2 linked regions of the Saccharomyces cerevisiae S288C genome follow. The protein of the gene in region 1 interacts with the protein of each later gene in a biochemical or structural test. Each region holds a gene or a part of one and is shown on either strand. Other genes may lie near its edges.

Region 1 (7,482 bases):
GACTTGTTAGGGCAGACCGTGCAGAAAGAAAAGCTCTTGATGAAACTCATCACAGAACCCTTGATGATGATAAGCCATTGGATGTTCATGATTACATAAAAGACGCACAAAAACTGCACAGCAGCAAATGCGTCTTGCAAATCAGGATGACTGATGGCAAGACTCTAAAACATGAGTTCAACTCGTCTGAAACATTAAATGACGTTAGAAAATGGGTGGACGTCAACAGGACAGATGGAGACTGCCCGTACTCATTCCACAGGGGCATTCCCAGAGTGACATTTAAGGATTCTGATGAATTGAAGACGCTAGAGACACTAGAACTAACTCCAAGGTCTGCATTATTACTTAAACCACTAGAAACTCAAAACTCGGGGCTATCTGTGACTGGGATGGAGGGACCAAGCCTTTTGGGCCGTCTTTATAAGGGATTCTCTACGTGGTGGCACAACGATAAAGATCCTGAAGTAACATCACAACGTGAGGAAACATCGAAGCCGAATCGTCACGAAGTGAGGTCTTCAACACCTTTATCTGGAGCTGCTTCGTCAAGCTGTTTCCAATACAACAATGTTCGGGAACCAGTTCAATCATCTGCTCATGCATCACCAATGCTGACACCTAGCGGAACCAGGTACCCATCGGAAACCAACCTTACTACGTCACGTTCTGTCTCGCCAAATGTTTTCCAATTTGTTAACAACGATCATCAAGAAGATCCTGAAGACCCAACAACCTTTAATGGTAATAATGTCCATTTAGAAAAGAAAAAGGACGAAGATAAAAAATAAGTAGTTAATGGCTTCAACTCCATTTATGACTAGTATTAGACGTGAATTTTTTTTGATTAGATTACATAAAAAAATATACAGTAATTTTATTTACATGGATTTTTGTTATAGCTGGTATTTTTATATCTTTTTTTCTGTTTCAAATGCATATAGAAAAATTGAAGAGTAAGTTTATATAAACACCTTAATTACGGGATTAAAAATAAAACAAGTTTACAACTATAATCACCGCAAAAGAACTCAGCGAAACAGGAGCAATGAGTGAGAAAGAAACAAATTACGTGGAAAATCTCCTTACGCAATTAGAAAATGAACTTAATGAAGATAACTTGCCTGAAGATATCAACACACTATTAAGGAAATGTTCTTTGAATCTTGTGACTGTTGTCTCCCTTCCAGATATGGATGTTAAACCACTACTGGCTACGATCAAGCGTTTTCTGACGTCTAACGTATCCTATGATTCATTGAATTACGATTACCTTTTGGACGTTGTGGACAAGCTTGTTCCCATGGCTGATTTTGACGATGTTCTAGAAGTTTATAGCGCGGAGGACTTAGTGAAGGCCCTTAGGTCAGAAATAGATCCATTAAAAGTAGCAGCATGTAGAGTCATTGAGAATTCGCAGCCAAAGGGTTTATTCGCGACCAGTAATATCATCGATATTCTATTGGATATTCTATTTGATGAGAAAGTGGAGAATGATAAGCTCATTACAGCAATCGAAAAAGCGTTGGAAAGGTTGAGTACAGATGAATTGATTAGGCGTCGATTATTTGATAATAATTTGCCATACCTGGTGAGCGTAAAGGGTAGAATGGAAACGGTTTCTTTTGTCAGATTAATTGACTTCTTGACTATTGAGTTTCAATTCATCAGCGGTCCTGAGTTCAAGGATATCATATTTTGCTTTACTAAAGAAGAGATACTGAAATCCGTTGAAGATATCCTCGTTTTCATCGAATTGGTTAATTATTATACTAAGTTTTTGCTGGAAATACGAAATCAAGATAAATACTGGGCTTTAAGACATGTAAAAAAAATACTGCCAGTATTTGCTCAACTTTTTGAAGACACGGAGAACTATCCTGATGTCAGGGCCTTTTCTACAAATTGTCTTTTACAGTTATTCGCAGAGGTGTCACGAATTGAGGAAGATGAATATTCTTTATTCAAGACTATGGACAAAGATTCTTTAAAAATTGGGTCCGAAGCAAAATTAATAACCGAGTGGTTGGAATTAATTAATCCGCAGTACTTGGTAAAATATCATAAAGATGTGGTCGAAAACTATTTTCACGTCAGTGGCTACAGCATTGGAATGTTGAGAAATCTTTCAGCAGATGAAGAATGTTTCAATGCTATAAGAAACAAGTTTAGTGCTGAGATTGTCTTAAGACTACCGTACTTAGAACAAATGCAAGTAGTAGAAACCTTGACGAGATACGAATACACTTCAAAATTTCTGCTCAATGAGATGCCAAAGGTGATGGGCAGCTTGATAGGTGATGGGAGCGCAGGTGCTATTATAGATCTTGAGACTGTGCATTATAGGAATTCTGCCTTGAGAAATTTACTGGACAAAGGTGAAGAAAAGTTAAGTGTATGGTATGAACCTTTATTGCGAGAATACTCCAAAGCAGTTAACGGAAAAAATTATTCCACAGGCAGTGAAACTAAGATTGCAGATTGCAGATGATTATGTTGCATAAGCGCAACTATAAAGGCGGCCTTGATTGTTTAATGTACTACCAGTATTGATTCCTGTCTGAATCAAAAACTAACCTTTTGGCGAGGTGGCCCATTCAGTTTTCTTCTCCATAAATTGTATAAATCAGTATGTAAGGTCTGGCAAGTACTTATAATTCACATTTCAATGTCTATGTAGCATGCATGATTTTTATTATAAAGAAAAACTATTCGCCTAAGCGCGTTCGTTTCTTTCCCACTAATTGCGAACGATTTGCCTATATAAATACTTAACGGCACCCCAATCATCCACACCCTCTGAATGCCGTTCTTCAACTACTTTTAAATCACTCTCTTTTAGTAATAATTTCAAAACCTCTCGTTCTTTGGCGTATTTTGCCCTTAAAGGTATTTCTAGGTGACAGGTCCCTGATGCCGCCAAAAACTTCGATATCATGTTAACTACCCATTCCGGATGCTGAGGCGAATATATCGGGTCGGCGATCAATATGACGTCAAATTCATTTTCATGTCCAAATTTATCTATAAAATCGTGAGGATTAGTCCAATCTAATATCTCTGCTTGAACGAAATCTCCTAAATTATTTAATGACACATTTTTCTTCAAATTCGTCACAATCTCGGGTAAATCCGTCACGAAGATTTCTATATTTTCAGTTCCATAAAGTTCTTTCCATTTTAAGGCCCATGAAAGTCCTACTAAACCAGTGCCCGCTCCTAATTCTAATACTTTAATCTGTTTGATGTCGCTGTTCGCTAACATGTTCACATTAGTGGTATGTAGGTAATCCAGGTGATCTACGACTAATTGTGAAAGTATTAAAGATGATCCCCATGTTTTCCAACCAAGATTATCGGCCGTTAAAGAGGGTTCATGAAGCGGTATGGAAGTGCTTAGATTTCTTAATTCAAAATATCTTACTATGGATGGTTGGGCCGTTCTCCCACAGTTTTCGGATATCCTTGAGCTCAATTCCTTAAGAAGTTCTTGTATGATTTCCTCATTCAATCCGCAACTATTATTGTATTTTTTCAATACACTAGTATAGTAGCCCAACAGTAGTTCTTTGGATACTGTAAATCTCAGCATTGGGATTTTATTGCATATCTTTTCCAACGAGTTTAACCTCTTGTTAGGCCATTCTTCTGTATACCAAGTCAAAAGTCTTTTCAGCAGATCGGGTTCCAGCCCATGACTCTTGCAAACCTCCAGTACAGATTTGTTCTTCCCTGTCTCCTGATTGAAGTTTACTTGTCTATCGGGCTTCAGAAGTATTAGTATACAAAGGATAACTTCTGGCGGAGCATACTTCACGGAGGGCAGATCCAGATTATCGATAATGGTGTCATCGTCGTCACTCTCTTCTTCATCTACAGCCGTTAATATTTCGTCACGTTGCGGTGAGCAAGGATCTTTTGGCTCTCTCTCTGCTAGATTGAACTGTAAAGCCTCAACCTGGATGTCATCAGGGGTGTACAAATCGAGAGGATCAAACATAGTGAAATATCCGCTATGGAACTCCTAACTTGCATGAGTTAGATACTTGAAAAGTAATATACAGATTGCACTACTATTATTTTGTAGCTCATCGCGAAATTGAAGAAAAAATTTACGATTGGAAAAAAAAAAACTACTATCAGAAATAGGTGAACCAATTTTAATGCCTGGATAGAGCTGCATACGCTACTAGCTTAAACCAATATTGGTGTCGCCTGTTTTCCTTTACCCAATCCAATATACCACTATACTGCGAATGAAGGTGTTGAAATAATTTGACAAGAGCACTTTATCCATTTTGCATGCGACCTTTACTAGCAATTTTTCAGCGATCTTTGCGGGCTTTAAAATAAGGTCAAAATTAAAGGGAGAAAGATAGAAGACAGTAAATAAAAAATACAAACCACAATAAGCATAAGTGGCTAGGCGAGTCTTAAACTACAGAGTCAAGCAATGGCAACAGACCTAAATCGTAAAAGAAGTGCTACCTCAGGCTCACTGAGCGTCACGAACCCGAACATAAAAGCAACTAATCGCAAACCAGCTAGAGTTTATAGTGTTTCTTCTGATATAGTACCGCAAGCGCTGACACATCCCGACGAAGATGTGCATCTAAAAACATCCAAATCTCCTCATGATGCCGCTCCTAGATGGTCACAGGTGGGGTTTCAATCTATATTCCATGATGGTTCCAATGCAAGGCGCTCGACGGATTCGATTGAAGAGGAGTACAGCCAAGGCACGGAGAATAACGATGGTCACTCCGAAATAGGTTCATCAAGTAGTAACCGAATGGAGGGGAACACCACGTCTAATGATAGTTTATTTTCTTCCAACTCAAGGGGCAATAAAAGGCGACTGTCCATCTTCACCAATTCAAAAGATAATATGAGAAATCGAAGCAGGAGCGGGTCAAAAAACTACGGCACTGTTATTACCGGCACAAGTAGTAACAACATAAGTAGGAGTGGCTCTAAATTGTTTCATACGAAATCTAATATGAGTGTGAACAGTTTACAATCTTCACTGTCTACAGGACATTCTCATTCAAACAAAGGCAGTAATGTCTTTAGCAAAATGGCAAAAAAGCTTTTACCCTACAAGCCGCATAATTCCATTGGTAAAGACGACGTTGAACCCGTAGTTCCCAGCCCATTCAGTAAATTTCTGCATTCTTCATATGGTAAACATAGGTCACCCGTACAGTTTATCCATACTTCTACTGGAGGCCTTATTGACTCTGGAAAATCTGTATATTCCTTTAACCCTAGCATTAACAACAACCCTAATGATACAGCTCTATCGCTGATCCAAGATGATGCTTTCGACGCGACTAATGTTTCTTTACTACATGATTTACTGAAAAACTTGCCATCCTTGATAGCAAACTATAAAAGCTTCACCGTACAGGAGTTATTTGTTCTGGAGGGGAATATCTGGGGTATATACTGCAGCATAGTTGTGGAGCTATTTAAAAACAAGAGGGTATGGCAATTGCCAGCAAAAATAGAAGATATTGACCGGCTGCTGGAATTTTATATCACTTTGAAAACACAAACCAAGGCTGCCGTAACGCACTCAAGGTTTTTGGCCGAAATCGAGGAATTCATTACCACTTCACTTTACATTTTAGAGAACCAGATTGTGTTCAATTATGCCAATGAGGATACCGTAAATACGGCTTTGAAAAGAGTCGGCATAATCTGGAAGGTGTTTTACCAACAGGTTTACTACGACATGATGGCAGTGTTACTGCCCTTCGAGAAAAGCTTCCAAAAAAATAGTAACTACTGGCTTGACGGATATCTATCTGAACCTTCAAGGTACGCACCGTCAATTGATGTCCTTTTATTAAAGTGTTTTAGAGACTCCATCATTCTTCCGTATTACGAAAGCTTCCTACATACAAATGACGGTGCCAGTAAGAGTTTTCAAAGATATATTTTCAGCGAGGAAGAACAGAACGGCGTCACAGAGGAAGATAAACTGACGCTGCTGCAGTGTTTTGGGATCCTGAATACCATAAAAGGTAACAGCAGAAACCAAAGAATTATTGGTGAACTTCTTGAGGGCATACGCATGAGTATATAATTAAATATTTTATTTAGTAATATACAATAGTGGCATATAGATAGGTGTATTTCCTTTTTCTTGTTCCAAGAATCCGGAAAAACAGATGCTCTTTTCCGCCCTATAAAGGGGCCAATGGGGAAAGTGCAGATCATATTAACTTGCTAAAGAGTCAGAAAGAACCAAATAATAAAAAGAAGAACTAATGTTGTGCGCCATCAAAAGCACAGGTTATCGGTATCCTCGCACGGGAGCCTTAAATCTACTACGTGGACGACCATTTAATATGGCCACCCGAAAAATAACTACTGAAAGGATCCCCGGCCCTCCCAAGCTGCCAAGAGAAGAGCAGGAAGAGTTCGAAAGACTTCAGAGGATTGCCACATCGCAAGAGGCAATAGATCAGTATAATGCGCAGGCCACCGGCGATCGTACAAAGGAGAGTTTGAATTCACCGCTTTTAACCAAAAACGATATTGGGTCATTCTCGCCTGAATTTTCCAAGACCATACCTGAATTCGAAGGTGATGTTAACCCCAAGACTGGTGAAGTTGGGGGTCCCAAGCAGGACCCGTTGAGACACGGCGATTATTCGTTTAACGGAAGAGTAACGGATTTCTAGATATTTGGTCCGGCCAATTTTTAATAATACTATTCTTATTTGATGAAACTGCGTAACGTTCAATTTACTTTTCAATATGTATGTTGTTATGCTTTATTTTGAATATATAATATATATATGTGTGTGTTATGAAATGCATACGTTTCATGTTTGCCTAAAATCTCTTTCTTGTGAGCGTCCTTCGAATTCTTTTCGAGTATGAATTGAACCTATTTCGCATGTTTTTCGTGGAGACAGTCTTTCTAGTGCTTTTTAACCTTACCTTTGGCATGTTTTTGATCTTTACACTGGGCACATTCATACTTATCTTAGCCATGATTGACAATTCAACTATCTTGTTTCTTGCGAATTTGTGGTACTCTAAAGGATTTAATTTTTAACGTTTTGTTTGTCCCACTTGGTATTCCCCAGGCGAAAAGATATGTGGGAACTATCATGTTTTTGTTGGTACAAAATAAGGCATTATGCTAAAAACATACTATTTAACCACGTACACACATATTTATTTACAAGGATACCAAACTTGATCTTATTAACGGAGGCTTAAAGTTGGCTCAAGAAATTGTTTTGCTTGATTCGCTGCCTGTTCGCCTTCCTTATGTTCTTTCTTCTCTTTAAGAGAGCCTGTCCCTCTGGGTCCTCAGCCGCATGTTCGACAACGTGATCACTATCCAATACGCTCCATAACCAATTTGGATACTCCTTGTCCTCGAGTGCCACTGCGTCTTTACCGCTCTTCCATATGTTTAAGTTAAGCGATGTTCCCGCAGGACACGACGACACCACTGAC
Region 2 (7,561 bases), on another chromosome or scaffold:
TAGCAATGAAGGCTCATTAGTAGGTTATATTTAATTGTTTACGTATTCATGTTACGACACGTCCCTTTTCAAAGACCTAAATCTTGTTTCACAAGAGCTTTACAGATTGGATGATACGTGTCCTTGAATTTGTCGAAAGTTGCAAGTGCCAATCGACGGTCTACAGAGTTTAATAGTCTGTAACCGGGACGGACAAACTTCATTCTACCTACAGTTCCCAACCAATCGGCCAAATGCTTATATTCTTCTTGCAGCTTGGCAAAGATCTGAAATTTGAACATCTTGAAAACAACTTCCGCGTTCTGTGATTTAACAATGTTATCTTGATAGATATCTAACAGTGCCCTAGATGCCACGGGAAACTTGGCCCAGTCAAAATCTTTTGGTTTCTTGTTGGAATGGCCATTTTGTGTCAAAGTTTCCAAGAACAAAACCAATTGATTTGAATTAAAATCCTTAATGTCAATAGCGTTAAATTCAGACCGGAAATCCTCTGTGGTTTTCAAATGTTGAGCCATTTCGACCCACTTGTCAGCCAATTGATAAACATTATCAGCCAAAGCCGTAATAAAATGAGGCCTTGGTGGCATACCTGGTTTATACAGCCAAGTTTCCCAGTCAACGGAATCCAAAATTTCTTTCTTTTCGGGATAGAACTCATACAAAGTATCCAAAAACTGGAAAGTATCCAATGATTTTTTGGCAAACTTCTTGAAATAGTGTCTAATAAATGGATCAAATTCAGCCTTACCACCCAAAATAGTTTCCAAGTGAAATAGTAAGTTGAACCCCTTTTCGTACGGAACAGTGGAAAAGGCATCGTCAGGGTCAGTGTTATCGTTCAAGTTTTGTACCAAAGTGGAAAATCTTTCAGGATCTTTCATAGAATCAATAGAATTCTGCAAATCGCTCCAACCAATCAGAGCACTGAAATGTCTAGTTGGTTCGCCATGAATGGCACCAATAATTCTTCTTTCTAAGTAAACGGTCCAACCTTCATTCAACCAAAAATGATTCCACGAACAATTGGTCACTAAGTTACCAGACCATGAGTGAGCAAGTTCATGGGCGATGACATCAATGTTGGATCTGTCATGTGCAATCAAGGTGGGCGTAGCAAAAGTCATATTCGGAGACTCCATACCGCCGTAAGGGTACGAATCGACGTTAACTAAGATATCATAAGTGCCCCACTCGTATTCAAAGATAATTTTCTCTGCAGTTTGAATGAATTTCTCTACATCGTTTTCAAATTCCCATTGACAATCTTTCAAACGAAATGGTTCAGTGTAAACTGTGGAACGAGGTCCAATTGGAGCGCTTGACAAATCACCGGAAGCAATACCGATCAGGTAGGCTGGGATAGGGACTTTCTGTTCAAATCTGTAAATATTAGTATCCTTGCTTGTATCTTCAATCCTGATGCCTGAAAAAACCACTGGTAGTGGGGACTCGATAGATGCAGTGAAAGTAGACTTCACAGAGGGAGTATCAAAGCAGGGGAACAAAGACCTCGCATGAATAGCTTCCAACTGTGAAAACACGTACGGTTTACCGCCCTTGGTTTGCTTGCTGTTCAACCATTGCAAAGCGGTGCACTTGTCAGTCGTACGAAATTGAATATTCAAGGTAAAGTTATCGTTGCAAGAAGCGTTATTGATGACTAACCTGGAGCCCAATGGCTCCTTTCTTTGCTCAATTTGAAAATCTGCCTTGGAACCATCAATATGAACCTCCTGGACATCCAAATAGGATGTATCCAGATGTAATTCATCCGATTTATTTTTACCTTCGTGCAGTTTTTTCAATTGGAATGTAACGCTCCCTGAAATGGCTGACTTTTCGAAGGAAACAGACAGGTTTAAATCGGTGTGAAGAACTGCGAAGTCCTTATAATTTGATAAAGTAGACTGATCGTATTCGGGGGAGCGGGAAGGTCTTCTCTGCTCAATTGAAAGAGGCAACATTTTATGAGGGGTGGAAATGTGTATGTTTCTTGAGATTACAGTAAGTAAACCTCGAAATCGAAGCGTGGGCAGGTAAATAGAGCTGGAATGACGAATGACAAATGGAAGCAAGAACATCAATTAGAACACCAAGATAACCTAATACATAAAGCAAACTATACTAAAGTGCGTTTATATAAGTCAAACGAAAAAGTGGAAGAAAAAAAGTGACATGATTTTCCATACGCAATGCCCCCGGAAACTGAAGACGCATTGTGTCAAAAGATGAATGAAAGCCACGACGAAACAGCCGAAAATGGTGACAGGAGAGGGCCAACGAGCCCCGTGAGAAGACCTGTGTAGGGCGTACCCATGAAGGAGGCCCCTATGATTTTCCATTTGGAAACACTCAGGATGTTTTCTGATGACTGGATGATGATGTCCTTGAGGACCAGGAGACAGCCAAAAAATACAATTGAGATCGCGAGCACAACAACCAAAGGCCTTGTGTTGATGTCATAGCGAACATACCTTTCATTGATATGATGCGTAGATGGCGTTACTGACGGTGAGCTGTTGTACATAGAGTTTTTGACTCTCACGCTTTGATTATCCCTAAAATCACCCGGAATTCTGTACTGGGATTCAACCGGCACTGCCTGCTTCTGTACCCTTCTTTTATGCAGCAGCTTCCGCAGTTGGTTAGTGGTTCCGCATTTCTGTGATTTGCTTCCATCTACAGTTGAAGTTTTCCTCTTAAAGAATTGCCCAATTGACCTCTTTGATACGTGCTCCATTAATATCTTGCGCCGAAATTGTCACACTATGCTCACGTATGATTAGTGTATTTATATATGAATAATTCAAATGGCAGGCAGTTTCTTGTTCGAGCCAGCATTGGCGAAAAAAATGCCAAAAGTAGAAGTAAATACGGTAGACACTCCAGCAAGATAAAGCTGCAATATATAACACATCACGGCGATGCTTGTATATTTAGGAGCTCTTACGTCCACCAATGCTAATATATCCTCCTAATGATGGCGCTGATACTGGTAAAAACTCATAATGGTAGTAGTCATTAGCCAATACCTGCCTCTTTTTTCCGGGTCATGCCGCATTCTTTAATCAAAAGGCGATGCAACCTACTACATGAGAAGATGACCGCGCAAGCAAAGGTTTAGGAGAGCGTTATACGCTTTACCCAGCCGTCCATTGCACCATGTCTTACCAACGGAACAGTGCAAGAGCCTCTCTTGACCTCAGAAGTCAATATCAACAACTGGAAGGCAGAATGAGGTCAGAACATTTTAATCCCGCCTATCAACAGCAGCAACAAAAAGGCCAGAACATACCCCTGTCACTACCCTCGTCGCTTGCGCAACGCAATCCTATACCTTACCCTATCGACGCTGTGACTTCCGATCCCACTATCCCGGCTCAGTTGAACGTATATGATCACGATCGGCAAAATTCGATAGTCGATGCTGCGGCTGGCACCAATACGACGCACTCTTTGAACTCTAATAATATTCCATCATCACAAAATAATAATATTAATAATAACAATATCAATAATGTTGGTTCCTTCACTGACCCTTCCATGCTAACGCTGCCAAAAATGTCTTTACATAGCCACCAGAAGCAGTATGATTCTAACCAAAACGATCCTAGGTCCCCTCTGGCGATACTGATACCGACTTCTGCGCAGCCCACTGATGTCTTGTCTGCTAGGTTTTCTGCCTGGAGAAATGTTATTCGTGCCATCTTGGTATATCTCTCTGAGACCGCCTCAATACAGGACGAAATAGTTAGACAGCAACTGAGGTTGTCCCATGCTGTGCAGTTCCCCTTTTTCAGCATTGAAAACCAATATCAACCGGTCTCTAATGAAGACAAGTCCATGCAGAAATTTTTTCTGCCCTTAGGAAGTGGATCCGTTCAAGATTTGCCCACGATGCTGACCAAGTATCATGATAATCTGGCCTCTTTGGCATCGAAAAGTTCCAAGGAGTTGACCAGTGAAATTATACCCAGGCTAGAGGATTTGAGAAGAGATTTACTAGTCAAGATTAAAGAAATTAAGGCTTTGCAATCTGATTTTAAAAATTCCTGTAACAAAGAGCTTCAGCAAACTAAACACTTGATGAAGCTTTTTAATGAATCATTAAAAGAATGTAAATTAGGTACACCAAAGAGTGACCCATTTTTGATAAAATTGCAATTGGAAAAGCAAATCAAAAGACAGTTGGTGGAAGAAAATTATTTGCACGAGGCATTCGATAACTTGCAGAATTCAGGGGCCCAGTTAGAAAGTGTTATTGTAATGGAAATACAGAACGGATTGACCAGCTACGCTAGAATTCTTGGCAAAGAAGCCCAAGTTGTATTTGACTCAGTTATCTCTAAATTAGATTCCACGATACTGAACAAAAACACGAATCTTGAATGGGATAGTTTCATTCTAAGGAATATTTCCAATTTTGTGCCTCCAAATTTACCCATGAGGAGGTTTAAAGAGATCTCGTATAGCAATCAAAACGATCCTTTTACTTTTGAAGTTAAATCTGGGTTTCTGGAGAAAAGATCAAAATTTTTAAAGTCATACTCACGTGGGTTTTATGTCCTCACTCCAAGCTTTTTACATGAATTTAAGACACCAGATAAGCATAAATTTTCCACACCGTTAATGTCAATACCATTAGTGGAATGTACTGTCACTGAGCATTCCAAAAAGACGAAATCCAACTCAGAGCAGGGCAAGAACAAGTTTATATTGCGTACGAATTCTAACGGACTAATACATAGGGGTCACAACTGGGTATTCAAAGTAGACTCTTATGACGATATGATAGAATGGTTTGGAAATATCAAAGCCTTATCAAGTTTGCCCAACTATGACGACAAATGCAAATATGTGAGTAAAGTTGCCAAACTGTCTAAAGAAAAAGCCAAGAGTAATGAAAACACCACGGAGAGCGTGACCCCCCAGGTAACTAATGAGCAACATACGAGATACGATGATGTGAGTAGTAGCAATTTTCCCTTGAATTCCATTCCAAAATTAGACAATTTGACAATCACTAACACCACGTCATCGATACCGGAAACGAATGATTCACAAATTCAGAATAGGGTTCCTGAATTTTACATTGAAAATGTAGATTCCCCTAGAAAAAGCAATCAGCTGTGACAAGTAAGTTAATTATATAGTAATGCTCTAGTTTGTATGTAATATTATGTATAAGTTTTCTCATAAACAAGGCTTCTATTTTCAAAAAACATCAGCCCCTTTCCTCCTCTTCTAATAATTTACAAATAGGATTCAGTACAAAGTTTTCCCAATCTTTATCAAACTTCAAATCAGAGAATTTATACAATGAATACTGCTGGTTTCTTGCGCCCATCACCCTTAGGCAGTCATAGTCCAGTTTCGTAATTTGTAAGAAAAGGTCGGACAAATTAGGGTATCTCAGAGGATCTTTGGTTGTGTTATAATCAGGATCACTCGGCTCTTTAAAGAAAAATCCAGTAGTTTCACCATCATCTTCGAGTTTTGCAAAATATTTCTTTTGTAACTCCCATTGTGGTGGAGCTTTTCCGATATTCCCGTTGGCATCCCATGGAGTAACTATATCTAACAATGGGCCCGCCGAGGCATGAACTATGGGGATCAAACCGGAAGCCATATACTCTACAACTGCAATTCCAAAGTGCTCATTCCACATGGCATTAACACCGAAAGTAGATTTGTTTAGTAATATTTCAATCTTATCGAAGGGCAGATTTTTTTCGAATGATATCAAATGTTTAGGAATTTTTAATACATTTTCTGACCAGTCTTGTAAACTTTTAACATAATTTTCATCTTGCTTGGATCTAGTGGACCCCGCCATTATCAATTTAATTGGCGATACAGAATCCGGTAAATTTTTCAAGAAAGTTGCAAAGGACTCAATGATTAACTTATGACGTTTCTCAGGACGAAATTGTGCCAACACAATTGCTTGATTTAATCTCTCACCCTTTGCAGTACCAAACTTTTGCTTCCAATCTACTAATTTCTCAGTAGAGCATGGAGGATATATAATTTTACACGTATTGGATTGCCAAATTTGCTTTATGTGGTTATTTGTCCATGTTGAGTTTGTGATTACAATATCAATTTTAGAACCAATGGATTGATAAATTAACATAAAAACTTTCCAGTATAATATTTTACCGTAAACTTTGATACCCTTCTTGGGCATTTTGAACAGCTTATTTAACATGTCTTTTGACATTATCGGATAATGCGTATATGTGACGATAGGAATTCTCCTCAAAAACCTAGCAATAATAGGATAGCTGAAAGGGTACCCCATTGTATCAATCCATATATCAGGTGGACACTGAATAATGGATTCAAATGCGAGAATCATTGATCCAATTGCTTGTCCAATCAACGTGAAATGCTTCCATGTTGAAGAATCCACCAAGTATCTTAGCTTCAATGAAATGAAAAATATTCTATCCGAATCCAAGTCGTAATCGAACTTCGCTTTCACATTATTTAGAATATTCTCCGGAGTAACATTCTCTCCATTCACAAAATCCCCTGAATAAATGACAATAACGTTCTTAGCATCTTTTCTCAAAGTGATATCTACAGCTTTCCAGAGCACTTTTTCCCCACCACCACCAGCATTACAATACGGATGAAAAAAACCAAAAACTTTCACATTCTTCTCACCACAGGAGGCAACTGCTCTGTTCAGTAATGAAGATTTTTTGGAGAACGGATTCAAGCTGGAATACACCCATTGACGGAAGATCCACGTGAGAACCTTAATTAGTCCATACACTAGTACTAAAGATGATACAACATATTTTTTGAACCCAAAATGAGACTTAACCTCTTCAAAATTGTAGTTTGTCCAAGCACTGCCCATTTTCGCCTGCAATCACCTGAACATGTTGGTCACACTTGGATACTAACATCTATCTTCACTTCACTTACCTCTCAATCTTATTATTTATTGAACTTTTCACTTTTTGTTTAGCTTACCCGAAGGACATAGATGTAGCGATGACAACGATGAATGATACGTCAGTTAAAAGGGTCTTCGTCGAACTCTTCATCTAACCCTTCATTTGCAGTGTGCTTGGTTGATGAACCTTCTTCCATTAATGATCGACAGCTGCAGTGAATAATGTCTCATCATAAGAAGAGGGTGTACCCTCAAGCTCAGGTGCCATACATTGCAAGTATGCCAATAGTTGCAGAGCAACAGCAGTCTCAACAACAAATCGACCAAACAGCTTATGCAATGGGCAACCTACAATTGAACAATAGGGCTAACTCATTTACACAGCTAGCTCAAAATCAACAGTTTCCTGGTTCTGGGAAAGTGGTCAATCAACTATACCCTGTGGATTTGTTTACAGAATTACCTCCGCCAATCCGTGACCTGTCTTTACCACCTCTTCCAATCACCATTTCTCAGGATAACATTGTGACTCCATCCGAATATTCAAATGTTCCATACCAGTACGTCAGATCTACTTTGAAAGCGGTGCCAAAAACAAACTCTCTGCTGAAGAAAACGAAGTTACCATTTGCCATTGTTATTAGACCA

The links.
Region 2: the proteins of BIT2 (region 1) and SLM2 form a complex in vitro, tested with the Saccharomyces cerevisiae proteins (one study listed by BioGRID).

Annotation. Positions count from the first base shown.
Region 1 is NC_001134.8:741,370-748,851, reverse strand, and holds BIT2 (Bit2p), read left to right. Parts: upstream 1-4,453; coding exon 4,454-6,091; downstream 6,092-7,482. Other genes in the region: UBX7 (Ubx7p), read left to right, coding at 1-791; HSM3 (Hsm3p), read left to right, coding at 1,049-2,491; EFM2 (S-adenosylmethionine-dependent methyltransferase), read right to left, coding at 2,741-4,000; SDH8 (Sdh8p), read left to right, coding at 6,276-6,692; mitochondrial 54S ribosomal protein mL54 MRPL37, read right to left, coding at 7,236-7,482.
Region 2 is NC_001146.8:537,486-545,046, reverse strand, and holds SLM2 (phosphatidylinositol 4,5-bisphosphate-binding protein), read left to right. Parts: upstream 1-3,165; coding exon 3,166-5,136; downstream 5,137-7,561. Other genes in the region: LAP2 (bifunctional aminopeptidase/epoxide hydrolase), read right to left, coding at 69-2,084; YNL046W (uncharacterized protein), read right to left, coding at 2,225-2,743; alpha-1,2-mannosyltransferase ALG11, read right to left, coding at 5,228-6,874; COPII subunit SFB2, read left to right, coding at 7,136-7,561. UniProt on the Saccharomyces cerevisiae protein: Together with SLM1, effector of the TORC2- and calcineurin-signaling pathways. Phosphorylated and activated by TORC2 under favorable growth conditions. Mediates actin polarization via inhibition of calcineurin-dependent transcription.